Macaca fascicularis: one gene and its partners. The protein of the gene in region 1 interacts with the protein of each later gene in a pairwise test. Links are inferred from orthologs where the notes say so. Each region holds a gene or a part of one and is shown in the gene's direction. Other genes may lie near its edges. The genes, in order: LDOC1, ZGPAT, FAM107A, FAM50B, POLL, DPPA4 and PSMF1.

The links.
Region 2: the proteins of LDOC1 (region 1) and ZGPAT interact in binary tests that used the Homo sapiens proteins (3 or more experiments, as listed by UniProt). The two-hybrid records come from large-scale screens. The link is inferred for Macaca fascicularis from reciprocal best matches to the Homo sapiens genes LDOC1 and ZGPAT.
Region 3: the proteins of LDOC1 (region 1) and FAM107A interact in a two-hybrid assay, tested with the Homo sapiens proteins (2 studies listed by BioGRID and IntAct). The two-hybrid records come from large-scale screens. The link is inferred for Macaca fascicularis from reciprocal best matches to the Homo sapiens genes LDOC1 and FAM107A.
Region 4: the proteins of LDOC1 (region 1) and FAM50B interact in binary tests that used the Homo sapiens proteins (3 or more experiments, as listed by UniProt). The two-hybrid records come from large-scale screens. The link is inferred for Macaca fascicularis from reciprocal best matches to the Homo sapiens genes LDOC1 and FAM50B.
Region 5: the proteins of LDOC1 (region 1) and POLL interact in a two-hybrid assay, tested with the Homo sapiens proteins (2 studies listed by BioGRID and IntAct). The two-hybrid records come from large-scale screens. The link is inferred for Macaca fascicularis from reciprocal best matches to the Homo sapiens genes LDOC1 and POLL.
Region 6: the proteins of LDOC1 (region 1) and DPPA4 interact in binary tests that used the Homo sapiens proteins (3 or more experiments, as listed by UniProt). The two-hybrid records come from large-scale screens. The link is inferred for Macaca fascicularis from reciprocal best matches to the Homo sapiens genes LDOC1 and DPPA4.
Region 7: the proteins of LDOC1 (region 1) and PSMF1 interact in binary tests that used the Homo sapiens proteins (3 or more experiments, as listed by UniProt). The two-hybrid records come from large-scale screens. The link is inferred for Macaca fascicularis from reciprocal best matches to the Homo sapiens genes LDOC1 and PSMF1.

The regions. Positions count from the first base shown.
Region 1 is NC_088395.1:147,494,884-147,499,175, forward strand, and holds the start of LDOC1 (protein LDOC1), read left to right. Parts: upstream 1-1,492; 5' UTR 1,493-1,601; coding exon 1,602-2,042; 3' UTR 2,043-4,292. UniProt on the Homo sapiens protein: May have an important role in the development and/or progression of some cancers.
Region 2 is NC_088384.1:119,823,809-119,827,973, forward strand, and holds the start of ZGPAT (zinc finger CCCH-type with G patch domain-containing protein), read left to right. Parts: upstream 1-1,365; 5' UTR 1,366-1,445; intron 1,446-1,874; 5' UTR 1,875-1,902; coding exon 1,903-2,483; intron 2,484-4,165. Other genes in the region: ARFRP1 (ADP-ribosylation factor-related protein 1), read right to left, coding at 23-110, 371-469, 1,126-1,179. UniProt on the Homo sapiens protein: Transcription repressor that specifically binds the 5'-GGAG[GA]A[GA]A-3' consensus sequence. Represses transcription by recruiting the chromatin multiprotein complex NuRD to target promoters.
Region 3 is NC_088376.1:121,733,594-121,737,660, reverse strand, and holds the start of FAM107A (actin-associated protein FAM107A), read left to right. Parts: upstream 1-1,267; 5' UTR 1,268-1,882; coding exon 1,883-1,906; intron 1,907-4,067. UniProt on the Homo sapiens protein: Stress-inducible actin-binding protein that plays a role in synaptic and cognitive functions by modulating actin filamentous (F-actin) dynamics. Mediates polymerization of globular actin to F-actin. Also binds to, stabilizes and bundles F-actin.
Region 4 is NC_088378.1:169,219,106-169,222,750, reverse strand, and holds FAM50B (protein FAM50B), read left to right. Parts: upstream 1-1,228; 5' UTR 1,229-1,329; intron 1,330-1,628; 5' UTR 1,629-1,651; coding exon 1,652-2,629; 3' UTR 2,630-3,145; downstream 3,146-3,645.
Region 5 is NC_088383.1:110,560,526-110,564,536, reverse strand, and holds the start of POLL (DNA polymerase lambda), read left to right. Parts: upstream 1-1,211; 5' UTR 1,212-1,265; exon of another isoform or gene 1,266-1,663; intron 1,664-2,049; exon of another isoform or gene 2,050-2,073; 5' UTR 2,074-2,095; coding exon 2,096-2,210; exon of another isoform or gene 2,211-2,237; coding exon of another isoform or gene 2,238-2,334; intron 2,335-3,310; coding exon 3,311-3,605; intron 3,606-3,988; coding exon 3,989-4,011. Other genes in the region: protein DPCD, read right to left, coding at 1,067-1,130.
Region 6 is NC_088376.1:173,739,436-173,742,935, forward strand, and holds part of DPPA4 (developmental pluripotency-associated protein 4), read left to right. Parts: intron 1-1,397; coding exon 1,398-1,686; intron 1,687-3,400; coding exon 3,401-3,500. UniProt on the Homo sapiens protein: May be involved in the maintenance of active epigenetic status of target genes. May inhibit differentiation of embryonic cells into a primitive ectoderm lineage.
Region 7 is NC_088384.1:86,226,481-86,228,935, reverse strand, and holds part of PSMF1 (proteasome inhibitor PI31 subunit), read left to right. Parts: intron 1-1,118; coding exon 1,119-1,277; intron 1,278-1,832; coding exon 1,833-1,884; 3' UTR 1,885-2,455. UniProt on the Homo sapiens protein: Plays an important role in control of proteasome function. Inhibits the hydrolysis of protein and peptide substrates by the 20S proteasome. Also inhibits the activation of the proteasome by the proteasome regulatory proteins PA700 and PA28.

The DNA.
Region 1 (4,292 bases):
TGGGAAGAGGCACAGGATAGAAGGAGGGGCCTTGTAGGCCTTGGCTGCAACTTTGCTCTTTATTCTGAGGTGAAACTACTGGAGGATTTTGAGCAGGGGCGTGAAGGGATCTAACTGTTTTTGTTTGTTTGTTTGTTTGTTTTTGTTTTTTTTTTTTAGAGATGGAGTCTCGCTTGGTAACCAAGGCTGGAGGAGTGCGCTGGCGCTATCTCGGCTCACTGCCACCTCCGCCTCCCGGGTTCAAGCGATTCTCCTGCCTTAGCCTCCTGAGTAGCTGGAACTACAGGCACCTGCCACCACTCCCCGCTAATATTTTGTATTTTTAGTAGAGACAGGGTTTCACCCTGTTAGCCAGGATGATCTCGATCTCCTGACTCGTGATCCGCCCTCCTTGGCCACCCAAAGTGCTAGGATTACAGGCGTGAGCCACCGCGCCCGGCCCTAATTTTTGTTTTAAAGGATTCCTGTGGCTACTCTATGGAGAATATACTATAGGAAGAAAAGAGTGAAAGCTAAGTGATTAGTTGCAGCAGTCTGGGTGAGAAAGGCTGGGGATCAGGGTGGCAGTGGTAGAAATGACAAGTCATGACTGAATTGGCAATATATTTGAAAGCAGAGCCAACAATTCCTGTCGGCTCTAGGATCAGGGATCCGTTTAAAGTAGAAAAACAAAATTATTTAAAAACACAAACATCTTAACAGTTCATTTTTAAGTACAGAATAAAACCCAGTGGCCAAAGGCACTAACAGCAGGACAAGAAATAGAGAATCAAAGATATGTGGGATGCCTGCAATTGATTATTGGATGCTCATTTTGCAAAACTTCTTTATATCCTGCTACTTAGGTTTGTTTTTTTTTGTTTGTTTGTTTTAAGGGAGTATGCCGTATTATTCCCCTACTAAAGAAGTCACTGTTTAAATACTGCCTTTTTCATGAAAGGCAGGAACCCCTGAAGGTCTTCATGATCCTAAAAGGAAGTGTGAGTCCCACAGTGCAGCCAGCAGTGTCAATACTTCTCTGAGTGAGATTTAAACAAGAAAGAAAATGTGTTAATAAAACATCACGCCAAGAGAATCTAGTGGCCACAGACCCACGAAGGAACAACTGAGTTGTGAGAGTTGCCTAGGTAGAAGGGTGGCTAATCCTTTCAGTTTGAACAAATTTGCCTTCTCTGAGACCAAACTCAGCGCTCGCCAGGTCCTCTGCTAACGCAGGCCCCACAACCAGGAGCTAGGGGAGCCTACCCCAGCCTTTAACTGCCCGCCTAGAGACCTACCACAAGCCGGTGGTTCAGCGACCCAGTGCATCCTTTTCCTGGCCACGCCCTCTTTGTCTAAACCCTTCCCATCCCGGCCACGCCCCCACGCAGCCGCGGCCCCCAGTCTGGCCACGCCCCTCCCGCGCCGCGCCGGCGCACCATCCGTCCGAATGGCCTCGTGGGCGGAGCTTGCGTAGCCTCCCGGACCCCGGCGCGCACCGCCCCCCGCCCCCAGCCCCTGGCCATCGAGCGTCTCCGTGGACACGCACTTCCTGCGAGGCCTCCGTGCGCACCTTGGCCGAGCCGAACCGAGCCGAGCCCTGTCCTTCCAGGCTGTTCGCAATGGTGGATGAGCTGGTGCTGCTGCTGCACGCGCTCCTGATGCGGCACCGCGCCCTGACCATCGAGAACAGCCAGCTCATGGAACAGCTGCGGCTGCTGGTGTGCGAGAGGGCCAGCCTGCTGCGCCAGGTACGTCCGCCGAGCTGCCCGGTGCCCTTCCCCGAAACGTTTAATGGCGAGAGCTCCCGGCTCCCCGAGTTTATCGTGCAGACAGCGTCTTACATGCTCGTGAACGAGAACCGATTCTGCAACGACGCCATGAAGGTGGCATTCCTAATCAGTCTCCTCACCGGGGAAGCCGAGGAGTGGGTGGTGCCCTACATCGAGATGGATAGCCCCATCCTAGGTGATTACCGAGCCTTCCTCGATGAGATGAAACAGTGCTTTGGCTGGGATGACGACGAAGACGACGACGACGAGGACGAAGAGGATAATTACTAGGCCCTCGGGCCTCGGGGGGAGGGCCCTGCACGCCGTCACCCCCTCCCCGCAGCCCTCACCCCGCCAGGAGCCACTGCTCTCCCCCTTGCCCTCCGGTCCCCTTCCCTACCCGCGCCCGTCTGCTCTTTCTTCATTTCTCCGTAGTGCTTGTCTTTGTTCCAGGAATAGTGCTCCAGTTACCTGCTGCTGGGGTTGGGGCTGGAGCCTCACTCACTCGGAAGTGCTTGGAAGTGTCATCTACCCTGGCCATCCCGGGGATCCCTCCCCTGCTAATCTGAACTGTGTCCTGAACCCCAGCTATTGGCCAGGCCCCTGTTACAAACTGCGCAGACCACCCATAGCCCTGCTGCTGCCACCTGCCCTGCTGCCAGGCTTACATCTGCCCAGAGAACTATGCTGCCACTTCACATCCACTCACCACATCCCACCTACAGACTACCGCCTTTCGAGATCAGGACCAACCTGGAAAATGCCAGAGTTGGCTCTGCCTCTTCGGACATTGATTTGGACAGCTCACCAACCCCTGAAGAGGCCAATCATTCAGCCTGGTTAGTTTTCTACCTACTCCGAGTGTCCTCCCCTGCCATACCAGATTGCTGCAGGGGCGCGGTGTGCCTGACAGCCAAATTGTTGATATTTCTTTTTTCCTATGCACTGGTTTTACACAGCTGTCATTTTTCTTTCAAAATTGCAGCAGTCCCACAGATGTATGCATTTGGACAAATAGTACTAAAAACAAAACAAACAAGCACTCAGCCCAGCTCCTCAATACTACCTGGAAAAAGCATTGGCATTATTTTCAATAAATATCAAGCACTAAAAAACGAAATGACTGTCTTTTAATAGTTAAGTGCTATCACTGACCTCTAGAACTGTCACTGTGACTACCGTTATTCCCATGGAAATCAGGGAATACAACCAATCCTAGGAATCCCTGCTGTCAACTCCAGGCTGCTGGGGACAGCTACCTCAGGGCTTTGTCAGGGTTCTGATGCTTCCTTCACCAACGCATTTCTTAAAGCCCTGGCAAAGGGTGTGTTCTCTGGGTCCTCCAGGGTGGCATGGGTAAGGGTTGGCTGAGCAGATGGCAAAGAGGGCAGTATTAATAATTAGACCATAACAACAGGCATAAACCAGGACATATATATGTATTGCTCCTAATTCTCTGAGCTTTTGGATTCCTTAATATTGTGCCAGGGAAGTTCTGCCCCTTAATCCTTATTGCCTATATGCAGCTGTTGAGTTCAGGCTCCAGAGAGCCAACATAGTACATTGTCACTTTCAAACTCCAAATAGCCAACATGTCACTTACAGGTGCTCTAGCTAACATTAAGTCCCAGATCCTGGGCAAGTGCATCCATAAAGATATACCCTGATCTTAACAAACATTTCATCCTCCTTGGGCAGACATCCTTAGAATTTCCACTCATAGATGTGTCCCAGATTCCTCCCTATGGAAATTAGCAAGATGCTTGGTTATCTCTTAAATCAGACTTTGTACTGCTATCTGGGGGCTATGCTGAGATCTCTGGGCCTGGAGGGTTCAGAGCAGTGAAGGGGGTGGCTGCTGAGAAGAAACTGCATACCTGTGTGAGGCCATTGCCCCAGGTTAAGTCATTGAAATGTTTAATGCAGAGCAGCTTGGTTGGGGATTTGACAGGACTACCTCTTAGAAAGGTTTAGGAGGATGTGAGGGGTTCAGAGTTCTCATTTATATCTGTCCAGATGTCCTCCCTCATTGTACCATGTCTGGAGCCAACTTCACTTTATAACCTTTAATTAATTTAGATAACACATTTCCTTACTGTTTAAGGCCTTTTGAGGCAAGATATTTCATTTGTACTGGTAAACCTCAGTGTTGATTAAATGAGATATGGGGCTTCATATTAATCACCTGATAGGTGTGGATTATATGAGATCATACCCATGCAGCATTTAGAACTTTCCCTGCTACATGGTGAGCACTCAGTAAACCATGGGCTGTTACTCCTGGGCCTGGGGACAGAATTCTCAGGAAGCAAGTCTCTGGCTCTGAGCGTGGCTTTAGTAGGAAAATGTCAGCGTAAAGAGGAGCAGAGCAGGTTCAGCGATAATGGAAATGAGAGCATGATAAGACCCCATTTACTTTTTGAAGTCTTATATGAAGCAAGAAACAAAGCTGTTTACGTGGTGAACAGGCAAAGTTCAGGGTAGGAATTATATCTCACACCTAGGATAGCTGTTTCTGGAGGGTGGGGACAGGGGTGAGTA
Region 2 (4,165 bases), on another chromosome or scaffold:
CCTTACTGTTTAGACCTCTTACTGTTTAGACCCACGGTGGTGGTGATTTTGGATAGACTCATTCCCTTGTAGTTCTTGTTAAACCGGGTTTTTGACTGTTCCAGGAAGGTCTGAGGAGAGAGGGAGAGGCAGACACATCAAGTAGGGGCTACACTGGCTTCCCAAATATCCTTCCTCAGGCCTGTTCCTTAAGAGAGAAAAACAGAAACAAAGCAACACTCTGCTCTTCAGGAAGCTGGTGGTGACAATCCTGTCGTCTCAGGTGAAATGTGGATTCCATCTGGGTAGTGAACATGCAGCTGACAGCACAAAACCGAAGCGGGGGCCACCCGGCCGTGGGAAAGGTGCGGGCAAGGGAGTGGGCACTCACCGTCTTCCCAGCATTGTCCAGGCCCAGGATCAGGATGCAGTACTCGTCCTTCTGAAACATGTACTTGTACAAGCCCGACAGCAGCGTGTACATCCTGCCCTGGGCGCCCCAACATGTGTCAGTGTGCAGCCGGAACGCAGCTCCCCGCCCCCGGGCTTCTCCACGGTGGTCAGGGGCGCCCCACGTCCAGCTGGCCGCTCAGGACCAGAGCCTGGGGGCCATTCCCGACTCTCCCTCCTCCACCGCACCCCTGCAACTCCTCCCAGGCCGGCCGCCACTCCGTCCTTCCGCTCACAGCAATGACTGCGACCTTTCCGAACCCGCAGCGGCTCCGGTCCCTCCCCTGCTCGCGGGACCACCCAGCCGGGTGTTCGCGGTGAGCTCCGCTGCGCTCCCGCCCTCCCCCGAGGTTTCGCTCCCACGCTTCACGCGCGCGGAACGGGGAACACACTCGCGGCAGCCCCGCCTGGGCCCCCGCGCCCCACCCGGGAGCAGCGAGCCGCCGGCGCGCTCCCCAGGAGCTCCCCAGGGACGCCCCATCAACCCATTTCTTAAAACGGGGACGGCCAGCGGGAAGCGGACTACAGGGCGGGTGCGCAGCGGCCCGGCTGCTCCCGGAGGCGGCGCGCGGCGGGCAGGGAACGACTCCCGCGGAGAAAGAACCCGCGTCGGGGACCCCGGCTACGGCCGCCCCATGCCGCGGCCGCCAGGTTGGAGGCTCGCCGACAAGCAGCCAAAGCTGGTTCCTGTCACACCTGCGTCCCACCTCCAGCTCTGGGCCGCCCCTCGGGCCTCGCGCCCCACCGCATAGCCTGCGGCCTACCTGCGACCGCCGCGACCTCGGAGCCGCCGCTGCTGACCCCCGCTGACCTCCGCTGACCCCGCGCTAACCCCGCGCGGCGCCTGACGGGACGAGAGCCGGCCTCAGGGAAGGAGCTGAAACGCGTCCCGGCGGCCTCCGCGCTCCGCTTCCCGGCTGCCCCCGCGCGCCAGGCACTTCCGGAAGTGGCGGCGCTCGGGAGGAAGTGCTGGTCGGCGGCGGGGACGAAAGGGGGGTGCCGGGCCGCTCTAGCCGGTGAGGCCGGCGGGCTCTCTATGGCGGCGGCTGGGAAACCGCGCGGGGGAGGTTCCCTGCCCGGGGAGAGGGGACCCCGGTTTGCGGGGACGCGGCCTTGGCCAGACTGCAGAGACGCCGGGCGCGGGGGCGGGGCCGGCCTGGAAGGCAGCGGGCGCGGCGGGTGGGCTCGGCGGAGGGCCGGGCGGCGGGGCGCCCCGCGGGGAGGGGGTCTCCGGAGTGACGCGGGACCCGGCTAGCGGCGAGCCCAGGGCGGCTCGGAAGGGAAGCGCGGAGCCTGAGCGGGGGTACCCGGTCTGCGACCTCTGCGCTGGGAGCTGTGCCTCTGAGCCGGTGTCTCCCCGAGGGACAGGGGACGTGCCCGTGCCCTCCCGCAGTCTGTGGGGCCGGTCCCGAGACGCGAGGCTCACCTGGCTTCTCTTCTCGCAGCCCTGGTCCAGCGCCTCCCTCTCTCAGCATGGACGAGGAGAGCCTGGAGTCGGCCTTGCAGACCTACCGTGCGCAGCTGCAGCAGGTGGAGCTGGCCCTGGGCGCCGGCCTGGATTCGTCTGAGCAGGCGGACCTGCGCCAGCTGCAGGGGGACCTGAAGGAGCTCATCGAGCTCACCGAGGCCAGCCTGGTGTCTGTCAGGAAGAGCAAGTTGCTGGCCGCGCTGGACGAAGAGCGCACGGGCCGGGAAGATGCTGAGTACCAGGCTTTCCGGGAGGCCATCACTGAGGCGGTGGAGGCGCCAGCAGCAGCCCCTGAGTCCGGATCAGAGACCGTTCCTAAAGCAGAGGCGGGGCCCGAATCTGCAGCAGGTGGGCAGGAGGAGGAAGAGGGAGAGGACGAGGAAGAGCTGAGTGGGACAAAGGTGAGCGCACCCTACTACAGCTCATGGGGCACTCTGGAGTATCACAACGCCATGGTGGTGGGAGCGGAAGAGGCTGAGGATGGTTCGGCGGGTGTCCGTGTGCTCTACCTGTACCCCACTCACAAGTCTCTGAAGCCGTGCCCGTTCTTCCTGGAGGGAAAGTGCCGCTTCAAGGAGAACTGCAGGTAAAACCCTTTGTTATCAGGATGCCAACCTTGGGGCGTAAGGGGCACGCACACAGGGTCGGGTCAGGGTGGCCCTCCCTTTGCTTTGCAGTTTTGTCTCAGCTTCTTGGGGCAGGCATGCTTTGTGACAGCAGTGTCTGTGTTCAGGCGTCTGCGTCTTTGTTCCGGGGTAAATCAAGAAGCATAGAAGGTGGCCGGGTGCGGTGGCCCACGCCTGTAATCCCAGCACTTTGGGAAGTCAAGGCGGGCAGATCACCTGAGGTCAGGAGTTCAGGACCACGCTGGTCAACATGGTGAAACCCTATCTCTGTTAAAAACACAAAATTCAACTGGTCGTGGTGGCGCGCACCTGTGGTCCTAGCTACTCAGGAGGCTGAGGCAGGAGAATTGGTTGAACCCAGGAGGCCAAGGTTGCAGTGAGCGGAAATGGAGCCACTGTACTCCAGCCTGAGCAACAGTGCAAGGCTTATGTGGAAGAGAATAGGTCTCCAACCTATCGTCATTGTTTTTTTGTTTGGTTGTTGTTTTAATTTTTTTTGAGACAGGGTCTTACTTTGTCAACCAGGCTGGAGTGCAGTGGCGCAGTCCTGGCTTACTGCAGCCTGGACCTCCTGGGCTCAACTGATCTCCTGCCTTAGCGCCCCTAGTAATTGGGGTACAGACTCACACTACCACATCCAGCTAATTTTTGTATTATTATTACTTGTTTATTTATTTATTTTTTGAGATGGAGTCTTGCTCTGTCGCCCAGGCTGGAGTGCAGTGGCGCAATCTCGGCTCACTGCAAGCTCTGCCTCCCGGGTTCAAACAATTCTCCTGCCTCAGCCTCCCTAGTAGCTGGGATTACAGGCACCTGCCACCATACCTGGCTAATTTTTTTGTACTTTTTAGTAGAGACGGGGTTTCACCGTGTTAGCCTGGATGGTCTCAATCTCCTGACCTTGTGATCCGCCCACCTCAGCCTCCCAAAGTGCTGGGATTACAGGCGTGAGACACAGTGCCTGCTTTTTTTTTTTTTTTTTTTGGAGATAGAGTTTCACTCTTGTTGCCCAGGCTGGAGTGCAGTGGCATAGTCTCAGCTTACTGCAACCTCCTTCTCCTGGGTTGAAGTAATTCTCTGCCTCAGTGTCCAGAGTAGCTGGAATTACAGGTGCCCACCACCACGCCCGGCTAATTTTTTGTATTTTTAGTAGAGACAGAGATTCACCATCTTGGCCAGGCTGATCTTGAACTCCTGACCTCGTGATCTACCCGCCTCAGTCTCCCAAAATGCTGGGATTACAGACGTGAGCCATCACGCCTGGCTAATTTTTGTAGTTTTAGTAGAGGTAGGGTTTTGTCATGTTGTCCAGGCTGGTTTCACGCTCCTGAGCTCAAGTGATCCACCTGCCCTGGCCTCCCAAAGTGCTGAGATCACAGGCATGAGCCACTGCGCCCGGCCCTGTTGTTAGTTTTATTCTCTAGAGTTCAACTTGAAAACTTTACTTTTTTTTTTTTTTTTTTTTGAGACAGAGTCTCGCTCTGTCACCCAGGCTGGAGTGCAATGGCTTGATCTCAGCTCACTGCAAGCTCCGCCTCCCGGGTTCACGCCATTCTCCTGCCTCAGCCTCCCGAGTAGCTGGGACTACAGGCGCCCGCCACCTCGCCCAGCTAATTTTTTTTATATTTTTAGTAGAGACGGG
Region 3 (4,067 bases), on another chromosome or scaffold:
AGCAGTGCCATGCAGTGAGCACTTTCGATGAGCCAGGACTGCCTTAAGCACTCGACCTACTTAGACTATTTCATTTAATCCTCCATCATGGATTCTTCTACTAATATTGCTCTAGACTCGGGGTAAACTGAGGAGCAGGACAGACCAGGCCCTGGCCTTTGTGGAACTGCCCTTCCAGGCAGAGGAGACAGACAATAAACACAGAAGTCCTATCATTTCAGTTGCTGATGAGTGCTACGACAAAGTAATAAACAGAGAGCCTGGGACCTGCTTTGCAGAAGGCATCGGAGAAAGCTGCTCTGAGGAGCCTGAAGGACAAAAAGGATGGAATCATGCAACGCTCAACATATGGGGAATGGAGGGGAAGTGGGGGAGGGAACATCCCACTCAGAAAGAATAGCAAGTGCAAAGGCCCTGAGACGGGGGGAGAGGTGCTGTGACCCAGAAACTGCCAGGGAGAGGGAGGAGAGGGAAACGGGGTCCTAGCAAGACCGTTGATCAGAACTTGTGGACCATGGGGGATCTCGCTCTGTTGGCAAGGCTGGATCTAGAATGCCTAATTCTTGACTCTCCACCAGCTGCCATTCTGTGAGTCATCTGTGTATGTGCTGCAGGCACCTACTGTGTGCCAGGCACCGTGCTAGAGGAAAGGAAAGGGTGGCAAGTTCTCCCCAACCCACCCGCCTCTTGGGAATGGGTGTTGTGCTTAGTGAACTGGTTATTCGGGACTTTCCAGTGGGCAGTGGACTTATCATTTGTGTTCTTAGCAGCGTGATAGCAGCAGTGCCTAACTTCTCTGAGGAACTGTTGTTTGCCAGATGCTCTGTGCATCCCCACAGCCCCATGCAGTGGGGGCAACTGTTACCCCACCTTTGGTGAAGTGACAGATAAGACGGAGCGACACGCTCTGATTTATGCTTTCACAAAACGATGGCTTGAGCTGTACACACACACCTTACCCCATATAGCTCTGTGCAGTGTGCTTCACACACACACACACACACACACACACACGCACGACATCGTGCCTCCAAGGCCACACAACTCTCGGGGACAGAGCTACAGTTCAAGCCCAAGGTCTCTTCAGCCTTAACCTCGGCCACAAGCTGGCATCACGGAGAAGGAAGAGGCTGGCAAATGAGGAGGAGGGTGACTGCCGGGGGCACTTTGAGAACTTGGCCCCAGGCCTGAAATCCGGCCTCCAGATATTTTCTTGGCCTGAGCCCAGACCAGCCACCCTCCAGCCCTCCCAGGCAGCCTGCTGCCCAGTTGAATGAAGGAGTCCGCTCTCAGAGTTTCTGCCGTGGGAGAGCCCCGGACCTCAAGCGTCTTCAAAGGTCTATTATTAATGGGGCCATCCAGCTGAAGCTGACATCCCCAGCAGCCCTCCCAGAGCTCTGCACCTCAGCCAGCCCATGGCCTCCACTCTCTGGCCCTGTCTGCTGAGCGGTGCCCAGCAAGACGAGAAGGCCAAGTCCTGCCCGCTGGGCCAGCCAGAGGTCACCTGCCGCGCCTGAGCTACCGGTGTGCGGTGAGAGGACTGCTCTGCGTCTTCCCTCGGCTCCCAGCTGCCTCAGTTTCCCTTCCTGAGAAAGGCGGGGTTCTGGGAGGTGAGGAGCTGCAGGGACCCACGAAGGGCATGGAAGCCGCCTGGGGACACTGGCCCGTCTGTCAGGATCAATCGCCCTAAGCCTGTCTGAGGCGCTCCAGGCTTAGGAGCAGCTGTGAAAGCCGCCTTTGTGCCTGGGAGAATGAGCCGCAAGAGGACAGGGGGCCCTGGCCCCGGGAGCCCCTTGGGTCCTGGCTCCTGAGATCAACGCCATCAGGGAAGACCCCAGCCTGGCCCCTGCAGCCCACCCAGGCCTGGTGCCCACTTCGTGCCATGGGAGCAGCCCAGGGGAAGAAGGTAGGAACCCCCAAGTGTCCTGTTGGGGCCCTGGACATGGGAAGGGAGACTAGACCTAGCAAGTGGGAGCCCCAACCCACCTACCCTGAAGCTTCATTTGGCACTGCCCACCAGCCCTCCTCCTGGAACTCACAGCCAAGACTTGCATCTAGAAGGCAGGCTGGGGCTCAGGGAAAAACCAGTGCCCTATCTCTCCATCTCTAGGACAGACTTGGGGACAGCCAAATCTCTCTGGCTCCCTGGTCTTAACCACACACATCTCTACTTCCCTGAGTAAAAGCTCCCTGGGTACCCCTTCCCCATACCTCAGGAGACTGTCTGACACAGGTGGATACAGGGGAAAGATCTTAAAATTGTTATTATTATTATTATTATAAAGTTGACTAACCAGCTGTTACCAGTTGTAGGGCAATGGGCAAGTTATTTAAGCTTTCTGTACCTTATTTCCTCACCTGTAAAATAGGGCCACTAATAATCACTACCTTGGAAAATCATTGTGAAAATTAAGTGAGTGAAAGTGTTTAGAACACTGCCTGGCACTGTGTAGAGGCTTTGCTCCGTTATTATTAGAATTCTGTTCATGTTATTATCTCTCGCCTTCTAAGCCTGAGCTCTCAGCTAGAGGTTTGTAGACAGCACTGCCTTAGCAGTGTTTCTGGAAATGTGCTCTGTGGACCCCTGCATCAGCGTTGTGGTGTGGGGAATAGGAGGGAGCTTGTGAAACAGTCACTTTCTCAGGGCCAGTCAGACCTCCTGGGTCAGCCTCTTAGGGGCAAAGAGGGGAGGGGCCTGCACTTACTAGCTCTCAGGATTGTCCTACATGCTCACTGCTCTCCGCCCACAGCGACTCAGCACTGCCGTCCCAGTGGCATAGCCAGGCTGCCGGGTCCCAGCTCCACCACCCACCTACTGAGGCGATGACCTGAACCCCTCTGGACCTCAGCTTCTTGTTTGTAAAAGGGGGCTGGTACCTGCTTCGTGGGAGGTTCAACAAGATGATGCCTTTGAAGTGCTTTGTGTGCTACCCCACCCCCAGAGGCTCCCCAATAAACAGGGGACTCTGATCCTCAGGCAACCAGTGATGACCTGTTCCATCAAGGTTGAGAAACTCAAGGAAGAAGTAATTTCTTAGCCAGGGTCATGCAGCTAGTGGGGGAAAGAGCAGGGTGCTGTTGTTGTTGCTGTTGTTAATTTGGAAAGAGGAGCTTTATTTCTCATAAAGAGTTGCAGCCTGCAGGGTGGCCATTCTGACAGGCTGGGAAGCATGGCCTCTGGCCAGAATCCAGAAACTGACACTTTGAGGAAGAGGCAAAGGGAATAGAAATTTATGCTGAGCAGCATGGCCAAATATACATATTCAATAAGCTGTGGGAGGAGTCATGCATATTTATGAAAGGAGAAACATCTGCATGCACAGTTGAGCTCCATGCCTCTTATGGGCCCGAGATACAAAAAAATGTTGGCCTTAGTGTGATCAGAGGGTGGAGTTTTCAGCCCTCTGATGTCAAAGGTGAAGCAGGGGGCACAAAAACCCTCACTGTGCATCCTCTGCAGACTGGTTAGAACCGCTCCATGATCCGCGGTCTCTTATCAAGAAAAAATGCTGGTTGGTTTTTGTGTTAAAACCACAAAAGGGAGGCGCAGTTGGTTGAAATCAGTATGGAGTCTTTTGAAAAGGCCGGTTTCTGTTTAGCTCTTAGGGAAGAAAGTCTAATGGAGGTTATCAAGGGATGGGGCACTACGGGGCGCGTGCAACCTCCCATCCCGTCATGGCCAGAAACTTGGTTTTCAAGATTTCTCTGGGGTCTCCTTGGCCAAGAGGGGGTCCGTTCAGTCACTTGCCGGGTAGGGGGGTGTTTAAAGTTTTATTTTTATTTCTTATTTTTATTGGGTAGGATTTTGACCCCGTTCTGCTTGATTCCAAACAACCCAGCCCATCCCACCCTTCCTGGTCCATAGCTCTGTCCACGGCATCTTCCTCAGCCCCACCCCAACCTCCCACAGAAGGCTGTTGGTCAGGCACCTGCTGCCCTGTGCCAGGGCCTGTGTGGAGCTGGAGCCAAGGGTGAGGAGACACAGCCCCTGCCCTTGAGGCCATCCCTGTCAGTTGTGGAGACTGATAGGCAGGTAAAAAATAGTTGGGAGTGTGTGTGACAGTTGA
Region 4 (3,645 bases), on another chromosome or scaffold:
CAAATCTTCAATCTGTAAAAACAAAAACAAAACACACAGTATCCCAGAGCTCAATAAAATAAGATATTCTTGTATTCTGGTGATGAGGCAACAATGAGAAGGCTTCAGATTTTTAAAAAATGCTAATTTCCTACATTAAGGCAAGTGGTGGGGAATGGGAGAAAAAGGAAAATGTGAAAGGCTCTTCTGTAATCGATTTCATGTGAAGGAACGTCATTCCAGGAAAAGGCCTAGGTTTCTGGCTTGGACAATTTGATGAGTGCTCACACCCGCTATTCTCCTCTGGATACGTGGGTGCCATACGTAACTATCATATGATTCACGCTTCTTGGTAAGGTTATGCTCACAGGCATTGTTGCTGTTAGACGGGAGTAGGCTGAACTGCAGTGTGTATTTCACAACCAGCTTTTCCAAACTAGGTCCCAGGAAGCACTGGTTTCAGCGAGTATTCCCAGATCTCCTGCAGGGGAGAAACGATCACACAACATGAATTGGTCTGCCCTGCCCTTGGAGAGTTGCAGTGGAAACTGGCATGTTAAAGGCTCACAGTAAAGACACTGCTATACTTTAACTCAGTTTCCCATGGTTATTAGAGCTTAGAACCCGGGGGGATACTGCTGTATAGAAGAGGTCTAACAAGCTGAGTGCAGGTTTTGTCATGAAATTGGGGGGTGAGTAGGGTTCCATTATCAAAGAACGGTTGTTATGTTAGGGCCATAAGAAAGAATTACAAGCAGTGGTGTGCAGGTAACGTTCATGAGACGGCCACAGTGGGGTAGCATCAGAGGCGGGAGGAGACGCGGGAGGAGGAGAGTTGGAGAGCAGGGGCTGCAGCCTTGCGAGGCGGTTGCAAGCCTCTCTGGGTGACCACAGCAGCTTGCGCTGTGCCCACATTGCTTCTGCGTGTTTACAACTGGGCACGAGAAGGCTCAGCAAGCACGCACCGCAGGTGCGGGCCCTCCCTGCCCACAGCATGAAAACAGGAGCTCCGGCCAGCATTGGCTGGGCAGGGCCAGAGGCGCCTCCTCCAGGCTCCTCCCCGCGCTGGCCCGCCCCACAGGAGCACCGCCCCCGCCAGGAGCCCGGCGCTCTCCCGAGGGCCCGCCTCTCCGCCAGGGGGCGAGCCGCCTCCACTTCCTGTTTCCGCAGCCGCCCTACCAGGAGCCTGGCGCTCTCCTCAGGGCCCGCCTCCCCGCCAGGGGGCGCACCGCTTCCACTTCCTGTGTCCGTGGCTGTCGCGAGAGCCCGGGACGGGTGGGCCTTTGCTCGTGGGTGGTTCTCGTGGAGGTCAACTCCCGCGTGTCTCCGCTCGGCAGGGTGCTTGGGCAGGTAAGGGTTCGCTCAGTAGCCCAACCCTCTCTGTATGCAGCTCCCCAAATTCAGCGCAGCGCTCAGGCATGGCAGCCACCAGTTACGTGGGGCCATTTGCATTTGCATTTATTGAGGTCAAAGAAAAGGCTGGAAATTGGTGCGTGGTGACACCGTCACGTTGGTGACCCTAGCAGGTCGGCCCAGCCCCTAAACGCTTCCATCACTGCCGAAAGCCCTGTGAGGAGGCGCAGAGCTTTGCATTTCCCGCAGTTGCACGGGCCCCTCTCTACTTGCCCCGTTTTTCCTCTTTGCTGCAGAGCCCAGCGGGTAGGCGGGGGCCATGGCGCAGTACAAGGGCACCATGCGCGAGGCGGGCCGTGCCATGCACCTCCTCAAGAAGCGCGAGAAGCAGCGGGAGCAGATGGAGGTGCTGAAGCAGCGCATCGCCGAGGAGACCATCCTCAAGTCGCAGGTGGACAAGAAGTTCTCGGCGCACTACGATGCCGTGGAGGCCGAGCTGAAGTCCAGCACGGTGGGCCTGGTGACCCTGAACGACATGAAGGCCCGGCAGGAGGCCCTGATCAGGGAGCGCGAGCGGCAGCTGGCCAAGCGCCAGCAGCTGGAGGAGCAGCGGCTGCAGCAGGAGCGGCTGCGGGAGCAGGAGCACCGGCGCGAGCGCAAGCGTAAGATCTCCTGCCTGTCCTTCGCGCTCGACGACCTCGATGACCAGGCGGACGCGGCCGAGGCCAGGCGCGCCGGAAACCTGGGCAAGAACCCCGACGTGGACACCAGCTTCCTGCCCGACCGCGACCGCGAGGAGGAGGAGAACCGGCTCCGGGAGGAGCTGCGCCAAGAGTGGGAGGCGCAGCGCGAGAAAGTGAAGGACGAGGAGATGGAGGTCACCTTCAGCTACTGGGACGGCTCGGGCCACCGGCGCACCGTGCGTGTGCGCAAGGGCAACACGGTGCAGCAGTTCCTGAAGAAGGCGCTGCAGGGGCTGCGCAAGGACTTCCTGGAGCTGCGCTCCGCGGGCGTGGAGCAGCTCATGTTCATCAAGGAGGACCTCATCCTGCCGCACTACCACACCTTCTATGACTTCATCATCGCCAAGGCAAGGGGCAAGAGCGGGCCGCTCTTCAACTTCGATGTGCACGACGACGTGCGCCTGCTCAGCGACGCCACCATGGAGAAGGACGAGTCGCACGCGGGCAAGGTGGTGCTGCGGAGCTGGTACGAGAAGAACAAGCACATCTTCCCCGCCAGCCGCTGGGAGGCCTACGACCCCGAGAAGAAGTGGGACAAGTACACCATCCGCTGACACCCGCCCGCCAGAGCAGAAACCGGGGGAGACACTCCTTTCTATGCCCCGCCACCAGTCACTTGATTTCCTGACCTTGATTTCTTCCCCCAAATTTAATAAAGCCAGAGGGTTCTCATGATTCATATTGGTTGTCCTATTGCTGATGTTATGCTTTGGTTGTTTGGTTGGTCTTTTCTGAGTATTTTAGTGTCCCTACCTGGATTTGCTGCATTGCTCTGCTGAGCTGTATTGAAACCATGTCTGGGCCCACTGTGAGACAGAAATTAGAAGAGGAGGCACATTTTTTACCTCATGGTTATGAGCATGGTCTTGGGGGCCACAGTGACTGAGTTTGATTCCCGACGCAGCTTCCTCCTTGCTGTGTAGTTTTGGGTAAGCTTATTAAACCCCCATGCCTCACTTTGGTCAGCTGTAAAAGGAAATAACAAGAGCACTTACTTTAAAAGATGGATGTGAGGTTTGAGTTAATATTTGTAAAACACGTAGCACTTAATAAATGTTTTTTGTTATTATTATGGTTTTGGTTAATTTATTTAAAAGACTTCAGTGACCTAGTTCAGAACCATTTGAGGGCAAAGGTGGACCTGCCCATTACCGGTCCCAGGATCAGCAGTTGCCAGCAGGAGGGGGCTTGCAAAGGTTGGGGAGCAACCCCCCCTCTAGTTGCCTTTAGCTGGGTTGTTTAGCCCAGAAGTTAGGAGGACAGAGCTAATGCAAGTAGCCTGCAGGGTGAGTATCATTGATTTTCCTTTTGCTCCAATATGACTCCAAAGGGCACAGTTGCAGATCCTGTCTTTATTGAAAACGTTTGTATTTTATTCATTGTGAATTATTTATGTTAATTTTGATTTTTAAAAATATTGTATTCAGGCCGGGTGTGGTGGCTCACGCCTGTAATCCTAGCATTTTGAGAGGCCAAGGTTTGTGGATCACCTGAGGTCAAGAGTTCGGGACCAGCCTGACCAACATGGTAAAACCCCGTCTCTACTAAAAATAAAAAAACTGTGCCTGTA
Region 5 (4,011 bases), on another chromosome or scaffold:
CTGGCCTTATTAATTCTTCAGGACCCAGAAACATCATCACTTCTGTTGGGTCTTCTTCCAAAGACATGTCGCTTACACCTTCACTCTTTCCTACCATTTTATACAAGACTACAACCTCTATTTAACACATCTTATTACTTAAATACATGTTTTTCCCAACCAGTCCAAGTCCTGTGACAACATATCTTTTTCTTTCTGTTCTAGTTTAGAGCTTGGCACATAGTAAAAGCCTCCCTAAATGTTGCACGAACGAGTAAATGATTTTAATTTCCACAAACTCCAGGCTTCCCTGATTGGCCTCTGCCTGTGAATGTGAATCACCAGCTATTATCTTGAAAGTCTCAGGAACTTCAGACACAATTCATCCTGGTTACCCAGTGGGTCCAGAAAGGACCCAAGTGCACAGGGGGCTGACATCGGCCAATCCTAGGGTGAGGAAAAGTTAGATATCCATGCCCCTGTGCCCACTTCTTCCATGCACAGCCCTTGGTCCTTGCTCTAGCTCCCCTTAAGACACAGAAAACATTTAGAGGTTCACTTAACAAAAATATTACAGCTGGAAAGGACCTCAGAGATAACAACGGTAGTCCATCCACTTAATTTTACAGATGAGGAAAGTGAGGCCCAAACAAGTAAAGGTGCCAACTGGAGAGCCCGTGGTGAATTAATGGCACAGTCGGAACTAGAGCCCAGGCCTCTCTCCTCTCTAAAGTCTAAAACATTCTTGGATTTCAGTTTCCTCTTCTGTAAAACGGGGTGGAAAATTAGCCTCTCAGGACAGTGGTGAGGAGCAAATGAGATAACGAATGTAAAAGAAATTACTATATTAGCAACAGAACTCAGAGCGGGGCGAGATGGTGTAGAGAAATTTAAGGGGTGTCCGGAGACATGTGTTCTGGTCATGTCATCTCTGTGAGCCTCAGTCTCCTCATCCGCAAATGCAGGACCTGGCCCGGCTGACCACCGAGACCCTTCCAGCTCTGCCGACCCAGGCCCTGAGGCCCTTCCCGGAGGGCCGGACCCTGGGGGAAAAAAACGAAGGAGCTCGCGGGGACCCTCGAGTTACCGTCCTGCAGCAGTGCAGTCTTCTGGGCTGTCCGCAGACTCTCCAACCAGCCCGTCACCGCCATCTTTCCTCTGCTAAGCAGCCCGCCCGGCCGCTGCCATGGCAACCGTTCCACTGAAGGTCACTTCCGGCTGACTCGGAAGCTATTCTGGGCATTTGCCCTCCTTCCCCCCTTCGTCCGTTCTCATTGGCTCTCCTGGTAAGTGGCCTACTCCTGCCCACCCTCGGGTGACCAACTTGGCCTGTTGTCGACCGCACCCAGGGACTGACTCTGGCGGTTGGAGAGAGACTCTTGGCGCCGGGGTTGGGCACTCCAACTCTCTACTAGCCCCGAGCTGGGATTCCCTGGCCTGCGCCAGCTGCGTACAGGGCGAGTACACCACACCTGCCCGGGTCTTCACCCCCAGCTGCGAGACTCCTCCATTCCCGGAGGGCTCCCCACACCTGCTGCGGCCGTGCCCCATCTCCCCGCAGCTGCGGCGCTGAGCATCCCCATGTCGAGAGGCTGAGACCAGGGCAGGTGCAGGGCGTTCCCACTCACCCGCGAAAGTCCGCCTCCTCAGGTTTTCCTCTGCAAGTCTGTGTTGGAGAAAAAGAGTATGTGGAGTTTATGTGCAGGTCCTCCCCAGTCTCCGCTCCATCCCCTAAAGCTCCATTTCCTAGCCCAGCATCCCATTTTGGTAAAGCCCTTCGAAGTGGGCCGCAGCAGGAGGGCTGTGCTGAATCTTTAGAGCAACCCCTTTGAGGAATGGGTATAGTTTCCTACTCCTTAAAAGTACCCCCGATGGCTCCAGCCTTCCCCTCATTTCCCCTAATACTCCAACTTTGAAAGACTGGGGAGTGTGAAGCTAGGCTAAAAAGCTAGTTTAACGGGGTTTGAAGAGATCCCCCCCAACCTCCCGCTTCCCCAAACTGGGCTGCTACCCCCTACCTCCATAGGCAAAGGGGTTGGAGATCCTTAATTCTGTATTTCCACCTGACAGCAGCCCTGACCAACCCTCCAACAGGCTGGGATGCAGCCGTACTTCAATGGATCCCAGGGGTATCTTGAAGGCGTTTCCCAAACGGAAGAAAATTCATGCTGATGCATCATCAAAAGTACTTGCAAAGATTCCCAGGAAGGAAGAGGGAGAAGAAGCAGAAGGTGAGATGACCCACTCTCAGAACCCTCATGCGCTTGAACCCTCAGCCTTCATGTGCTTCAGCCCTATGTTGTTCATGTCCAGAATCAGATATTGGAGCTGACTCTGCCTGTCCATGGACTGCAGGTCTGTTTGTATCTGCCTTGTACTAAGCTTGGTCCTGGGTCTTGGACAGGCCATTTGCTGTGTTATCTTCTTTTCTACCTGAACACCCCTATCAATTGGAAAAGACTCCCTGGACCCTCAGGGAATGACCAGTATAATTTTTGCCCTGGGGGACTGGGACAGAAACCCCCCTCCATTACCCAGGATTGTTGTTAGTTGTTTTGCAGCCAAATTGATAAATAAATAGCAGAGGCTTTGGAGGCAGGGTTGTCGGGTCTGTCAGAGTGTAAGGGCAAGAAATGTGCATTGTTGAAAGAATAAATGATAAAGGATTCAAAGTATGGAGAGAGGCTGGGCGCGGTGGCTCATGCCTGTAATCCCAGCACTTTGGGAGGCCAAGGCAGGCAGATCACCTGTGCTCAGGAGTTCGAGACCAGCCTGGGCAATGTGGCGAAACCCCGTCTCTACCAAAAATACAAAAAATTAGCCAGGCATGGTGGCACATGCCTGTAATCCCAGCTACTTGGGAGGCTGAGGCATGAGAATCGCTTGAGCCCGGGAGATGGAGGTTGCAGTGAGCCAAGATGACGCCACTGTACTCCAGCCTGGGCAACAGAGTGAGACTGTCTCCAAACAAACAAACGAAAAAAACAAAACAAAAACAAAAACAAAGTAAGAAGGGAGGAGGCATTCATTCAGCAGATATTTACAGGTTACTTACAATGTGCCAGACACTTCTAGGTTGCACCAAGGAACAGGACGTATAAAAATCCTTGTCCCTTACTTTCAAGTACTGGCCTGTGAGAAAATTTGCTGTATATAGAAGGAAACCTGCCTGGATGGAAGACAAATGCTTATTTTCAGGGTAGGGGACTGTGAACATGTCATTCAGATCATGTTAGAAGTTGTATTCAGATCATGTTAGAAGTTGTGGCCAGGGGGTGGCAGATAAAATTAAAAAGTTATGACAGTAGTCATCTGGATGTTCCTTCCCCAGAGTGGCTGAGCTCCCTTCGGGCCCATGTTGTGCGCACTGGCATTGGACGAGCCCGGGCAGAACTCTTTGAGAAGCAGATTGTTCAGCATGGTGGCCAGTTATGCCCTGTCCAGGGCCCAGGTGTCACTCACATTGTGGTGGATGAAGGCATGGACTATGAGCGAGCCCTCCGCCTTCTCAGACTACCCCGGCTGCCCCCGGGTGCTCAGCTGGTGAAGTCAGCCTGGCTGAGCTTGTGCCTTCAGGAGAGGAGGCTGGTGGATGTAGCTGGATTCAGCATCTTCATCCCCAGTAGGTGGGCTGATCCCAGTCTTTTTTTCCAATGTTTTCTAGTAGCATCTTGAGCTCTCTTCTTGAATTATTAAAAATAACTGTCATTAATTTAAAAATTAGCCAGGCATGGTGGTATATGCCTGTAGTCCCAGCTATATGAGGGTTAGGTGGGAGGATTGATTGAGCCAGGGAGGCTGAGGCTGCAGTGAGCCTTGATCATACCACTGTACTCCAGCCTGGGTGATAGAGCAAGACCCTATCTCAAGAGAAACTCCAAAAACCTCAAAAAACTCATTTTCTTAATTGGACACACTGGGAAACCAAGTATTTCAGAATACATTAGGACTGGGGACAGAAACAGGGTGAGACCTTTGGTGTCTTAACCTCCCATCACCATCCCCACAGGTACTTGGACCAGTCACAGCCCA
Region 6 (3,500 bases), on another chromosome or scaffold:
GGCCAACATGGTGAAATCCTGTCTCTACTAAAAATACAAAAATTAGCCAGGTGTGGTGGTGCATGTGTGTAATCCCAGCTATTCAGGAGGCTGAGGCAGTAGAATTGCTTGAAACCAGGAGGCAGAGGTTGCCGTGAGCTGAGATGCACCATTGCACTCCAGCCTGGGCACAAGAGTGAAACGCTGTCTCAAAAATAAAAAGAGGCAGCACTTAAATTTTTTTAATTGACAAAAATTGTATATTTTTATCATGTACAGCACATGGCTTTGAAATACGTATACATTGTGGAATGGCTAACTCAAGCTAATTAATACATACATCACTTTACATACTATATTATTATTATTATTATTATTATAATTATTGAGACAGAATTTCGCTCCATGCATCCGCTGCCTCCCGGATTCAGATGATTCTCCCGCCTTAGCCTCCCGAGTAGCTGAGATTACAGGTATGCGCCACCACACCTGGCTAATTTGGATTTTTAATAGAGACGGCATTTCTCCATGTTGGTCGGGCTGGTCTCAAACTCCCGACCTCAGGTGATCTGCCCACCTCAGCCTCCCAAAGTGCTGGGATTACAGGCGTGAGCCCCACCGTGCCCAGGTTTTCTTTCTTTCTTTTTTTTTTTTTTAAGACAAAGTTTCGCTCTTGTTGCTCAGGCTGGAGTGCAGTGCGCAATCTCAGCTCACTGCAACCTCCACCTCCTGGGTTCAAGTGATTCTCCTGCCTCAGCCTCCAGAGTAGCTGGGATTACAGCACCTGCCACCACGCCTGGCTGATGTTTGTATTTTTAGTAGAGACAGGGTTTCACCATGTTGGCCAGGCTGGTCTAGAACTCCTGACCTCGTGATCCGCTCACCTCGGTCTCCCAAAGTGCTGGGATTACAGGCGTGAGCCACTGTGCCCGGCCAGCAATTTTCTTTCTTTCTTTTTTTTTTAAAGACAGAGTCTCCCTCTGTCACCTAGGCTGGAGTGCAGGCTCACTGCAACTTCCGCCTCCCTGGTTCAAGTGATACCCCAGTCTCAGCCCCCTGAGTAGCTGGGATTGCAGGCATGAACCACCACGCCTGGATAATTTTTGTATTTTTAGTAGAGATGCGGTTTCACCACGTTGGCCAGGGCTGTTCTTGAACTCCTGACCTCAAGTGTTTCACCAACCTTGGCCTCCCAAAGTGCTGGGATTACAGACCTGAGCCATGTGCAGCCAACTGTGCAATTTTCAAGAAGACAGTACATTGTAATTAACCAAGTTGTACAGTGGATCTCTTGAACCTAGACCTCCTGTCTAAGTGAAACTTTGCATTTGATCAAGAACTTCTTAACTCTGAGGCCATTTATTTTTGTTAGAATTTTAATCTTTATTTTTATCTTTATTATCTAACCCTTTCTGTAGGATTTTCCTAGCACAGCAAAAGAGGCCAAAATCCGGAAATCATTGAAAAAAAAATTAAAGGTGGAAAAAGGGGAAACGTCCCTGCAAAGTTCTGAGACACATCCTCCTGAAGTGGCCCTTCCCCCTGCGGAGGGGCCGCCTGCCCTGGAAGATTCCACTGCTCTCCTTGAGGGAGTTAATACAGTTGTGGTGACAACTTCTGCCCCAGAGGCTTTGCTGGCCTCCTGGGCGAGAATTTCGGCCAGGGCGAGGACGCCAGAGGCAGTGGAATCTCCACAAGAGGCCTGTGGTAAGCCCAACACGAAGAGCTTATTCTGGTCCAGTGGGGAAATAAGCTTAGTAGAGATTAATGCCTGATATATTTTTAGGGTATATCAAAATGCCTTTGAGGGCCGGCGATTCCTGGACCCTGCCCACAGAGTTTCTAATTCAGGTCTAGGACAGGACCTGAGCATTTGCATTTCTTTCTTTTTTTTTTTGAGACAGAGTTTCGTTCTTGTTGCCCAGGCTAGAGTGCAGTGGTGCGATCTTGGCTCACCACAACCTCAACCTCCCGGGTTCCAGCAATTCGCCTGCTTCAGCCTTCCTGAGTAGCTGGGATTACAGGCAGGCGCAACCATGCCCGGCTAATTTTGTATTTTTAATAGAGACGGGTTTTCTCCATGTTGGTCAGGCTGGTCTCAAACTCCTGACCTCAGATGATCCGCCTGCCTCGGCCTCCCAGAATGCTGGGATTACAGGTGTGAGCCACTGCACCCAGCGAGAGTTTGCATTTCTCAGTTTTCCGGGCAGCAGTAAGGATGCTGGTCTGGGGACCACAGTTTGAGAACCACTGCTTTAAATGATTGATGGCATCAGAAGAGGATAGCAGTTTGGTTTTCTTTCTTTCCCCTTTAAGCAATTTTATTTTATTTTATTTTTTTTTTTTTGAGACAGAGTCTCGCTTAGTCGCCCAGGCTGGAGTGCAGTGGCGCGATCTCGGCTCACTGCAAGCTCCGCCTCCCGGGTTCACGCCATTCTCCTGCCTCAGCCTCCCGAGTAGTTGGGACTACAGGCGCCCGCCGCCTCGCCCGGCTAATTTTTTGCATTTTTAGTAGAGACGGGGTTTCACAGTGTTAGCCAGGATGGTCTCGATCTCCTGACCTTGTGATCCGCCCGCCTCGGCCTCCCAAAGTGCTGGGATTACAGGCGTGAGCCACCGCACCCGGCCTAAGCAATTTAAAAGTAAGATCTAAAATTAATTGCCTGCAGCTGAGCCCCAGAATGGCATTAATAAGTTATTTAAAATATTTCCCAGTGTTTTCATTGTAAAATGGGCGACACCTAGCTTATATGTTGTAAGAATTACAGAAAATACAACAAAAGAAGACAATAAACTGTTTAGCACAATCCAATGTGTGTTCAGAGCTGGGGCCCCTGAGCTTGTTTCATGAAGCCCTTTCCAGACACTCTGGGTTAGTCTTTCTACCATCTGCCCACCTACAACTATACTACTTCCAACTAGATTTATTTATTTGTTTGTTTGTTTGTTTATTTGAGACGGAGTCTTGCTCTGTCGCCCAGGCTGTAGTACAGTGGTGTGATCATGGCTCACTGCGAGCTCCGCCTCCCAGGTTCACGCCATTCTCCTGCCTCATTCTCCCAAGTAGCTGGGACTACAGGCGCCCGCCGCCACGCCCGGCTAATTTGTATTTTTAGTAGAGACGGGGTTTCACAGTGTTAGCCAGGATGGTCTCGATATCCTGACCTCATGATCCGCCCGCCTTGGCCTCCCAAAGTGCTGGGATTACAGGCATGAGCCACCGTGCCCCGCCTAGATTTTTAAGTTTTAACAGGAACTGTCTTGTATGCTTTTCTAAAGGAGAACAGAATAGAGAAGAGGTTAAGTTAGGATTTCAGGGTTCACATCTTGGAGTTGGTCAATCAAGGGTGATGGGCCATAATGCAGCCTTACTTCGGTATGTCATCCTGGTGTGTGGGTGCCTGTCTCTCTCCTTCGCCAGGTGTCAGGTGGTGTGTGGTCCATGGGAAAAGTCTCCCTGCAGACACAGATGGTTGGGTTCACCTGCAGTTTCATGCTGGTCAAGCCTGGGTTCCAGAAAA
Region 7 (2,455 bases), on another chromosome or scaffold:
GTACTGCTGGGGAGGTGGCAGCGACACAACTTGCTTTTATGGCTTTTCAGCCCCAGTTCATCTTCTAATTTTAGAGTTTTCAGTCAGTCTCTTCCTTTGGGGTGGAGGAGGGAGTTGTTGCTGAGCAGCTGAGAAAGCACTGCCACATGCGCTGTCCCTCCTCAGCTAGAGCAGTGCAGGAGAGCGCTGAGTGTTGGCAGGGAGGTGAGCAAGCCCAGCAGGCAGCTCTTCTGCCATTTCCCGGTCCCCCTGCCCACCCTAGTTTATCAACTGTATAGTGAAGAGCAGATGGTGGGCCTTAGGGCAGCTCAGGGCTATTCAGAGATTACCCCACTTGATAAAGGGAGCCTCTGAGCCCCATTAGACTCTGGACGGTTCTTATCATGCATCCAACAAAGTTACTATAGCCTCTGCTCTCCACTCTCTTCCCTGAATGATTCCAACTAGATCTTAACCTCTGCCGCAAAGTGACCCCAACTTCAGCATCTCATTCCTAGACAGTGGGGATATAACTAAGCAGTGACCTCAAAATTTGGGGAACCATCAGCTCATTCATCCTAGTTTGAGCACATGAGGTCAGGTCCATGGAACTCCATGAGGGACAGATGCTGTCAGGAGCCAGACTTAGGCAATCTACAGGCAGTCAGAAATTGCCCTGAGGCCCTTAAGGGAAAGAGCAAAAAAAACCAACATCACGAATTTTCTCAATGCTATTATTAGTCCTTAAACCTAGAGTAGCACCCTGCAGAACCTTGTGAGTGCATTGAAGTTGACCTTGGCAAGTTCTGGCTCTTGGTCTTGATCAAGTTGGCCCTCTTGGGTATAGGATAAGGCAGGGATCTCAATTTTGAGGAGCCCTACAGAACCAAAAGCACTGTGCAGAAGAACCAACCCCTGCAGAGCCAAAAGTACTCAGCTGTGAAGTATGCTCTTCGTATAGGCTTTGTGTTCTTGCCCTTGCCCACTTTTTGCTGGCTCTCAGGCAGCCATCCACATGTCTGCTTGGGCCATCCACATTAGACAACCCAGCCATTCTTGGTCCATTCTCACCTCCCTCACCTGTTCTCCAAGGGCAGTCCTTGCCACACCTGCTTACCCAACTTTTCTTCTTGCCTTAGGCATCGGAGAGGTGGCATGATTGTGGATCCCCTGAGATCTGGCTTCCCAAGAGCACTTATTGACCCTTCCTCAGGCCTCCCGAACCGGCTTCCTCCAGGCGCTGTGCCCCCAGGAGCTCGCTTTGACCCCTTCGGACCCATTGGGACCAGCCCACCTGGGTAGGTAGTCACTCAGGTATGCTGAGAAGTAGGACCTGATGGCAGCTTGGCTCAGTGTGGCAGCAACGAAGGTTTCTAGCCCCAGGCACACAGTTGCCGCTGCCTTCACCTGTTGCTGCCAGGAGAGTGGAGCCTCCTCCAGGGCCCTGCCTGATGTCTCCCTGGAGCCTTCTAGGAGCTCCCTATCCCTCAGTGCCTCTCTTTCCCCAGCTCCCCTCTGGGGAGGACTCAAAGTAGGAGGAGGAACTAACAGTTCTTGAAAGTTAAGTATGTGTCAGAAACTCATTGGATCCTTTCTTCAGCAGTCTTGGGTAGATAGTGGTGTCTACATTTTATAGATACAGAAAGTGAGACCCTGAAAGATTAGGTAGCTTATACCAAGTGGGGGAGTCAGGATTCAAACCCAGGCTGTCTGGCTCTTGAGTGCATGTTTTTAAATTCCTCACACCACCACATCATTTTGAAGGGCAGGTTCCCTCAGTGCAGGGTCACGTCTGCCCATGTCCCCCTGGTCTCTCCATCACTCCAACTCATCAGCCCCTCTTTCCATTCCAGACCTAACCCAGACCATCTCCCCCCGCCGGGCTACGATGACATGTACCTGTGAAGGCCTCAAGAATGTAACATCCCAGGCTTCCCTCCACTCTCCTGGAGCTGCCACTGCTGTCCCCATCAGCAACCATGTTCTTGCGGGCTGGGGGCAAGGGATTCTGCTCACATGTTTGCAGGCCGGCTGGGATAGCCTCCCCACCCCTTATCAGAGCCAAGACACCTGCTGCAGCTCTCCACCTAGCTGCGGATAGCTCCCAAAGAGAAATCAGTGTGTCTCTTTCACCACCAGCTCCTCCCCTTTCACCACCAACTCCTCCCCACTTCCCAAGGGAGACTCCGGCAACCTTCAGCAACATATATCCTCGACCAGATGCAGTGCTATAAGAACAGAATGCATTTTGGATGTTATTATTAAGAACCAAATGTCAATACAGAATTCATGTTGCCGGCTTCCCACTTTTCTTTTTACATTAATGCATAGCTCCTTCCATTTATGAGACTTTAGAGTTTGAGTTTCTGTAGGGCTGAATGACTCTTTTTCCTGCCCAGGGCCCATTCTTGCTTCTCAGGCATCTTCCGTTCATTAATTGCCATTGCTCCTGACATCACTAAGATGGGTCCCGATC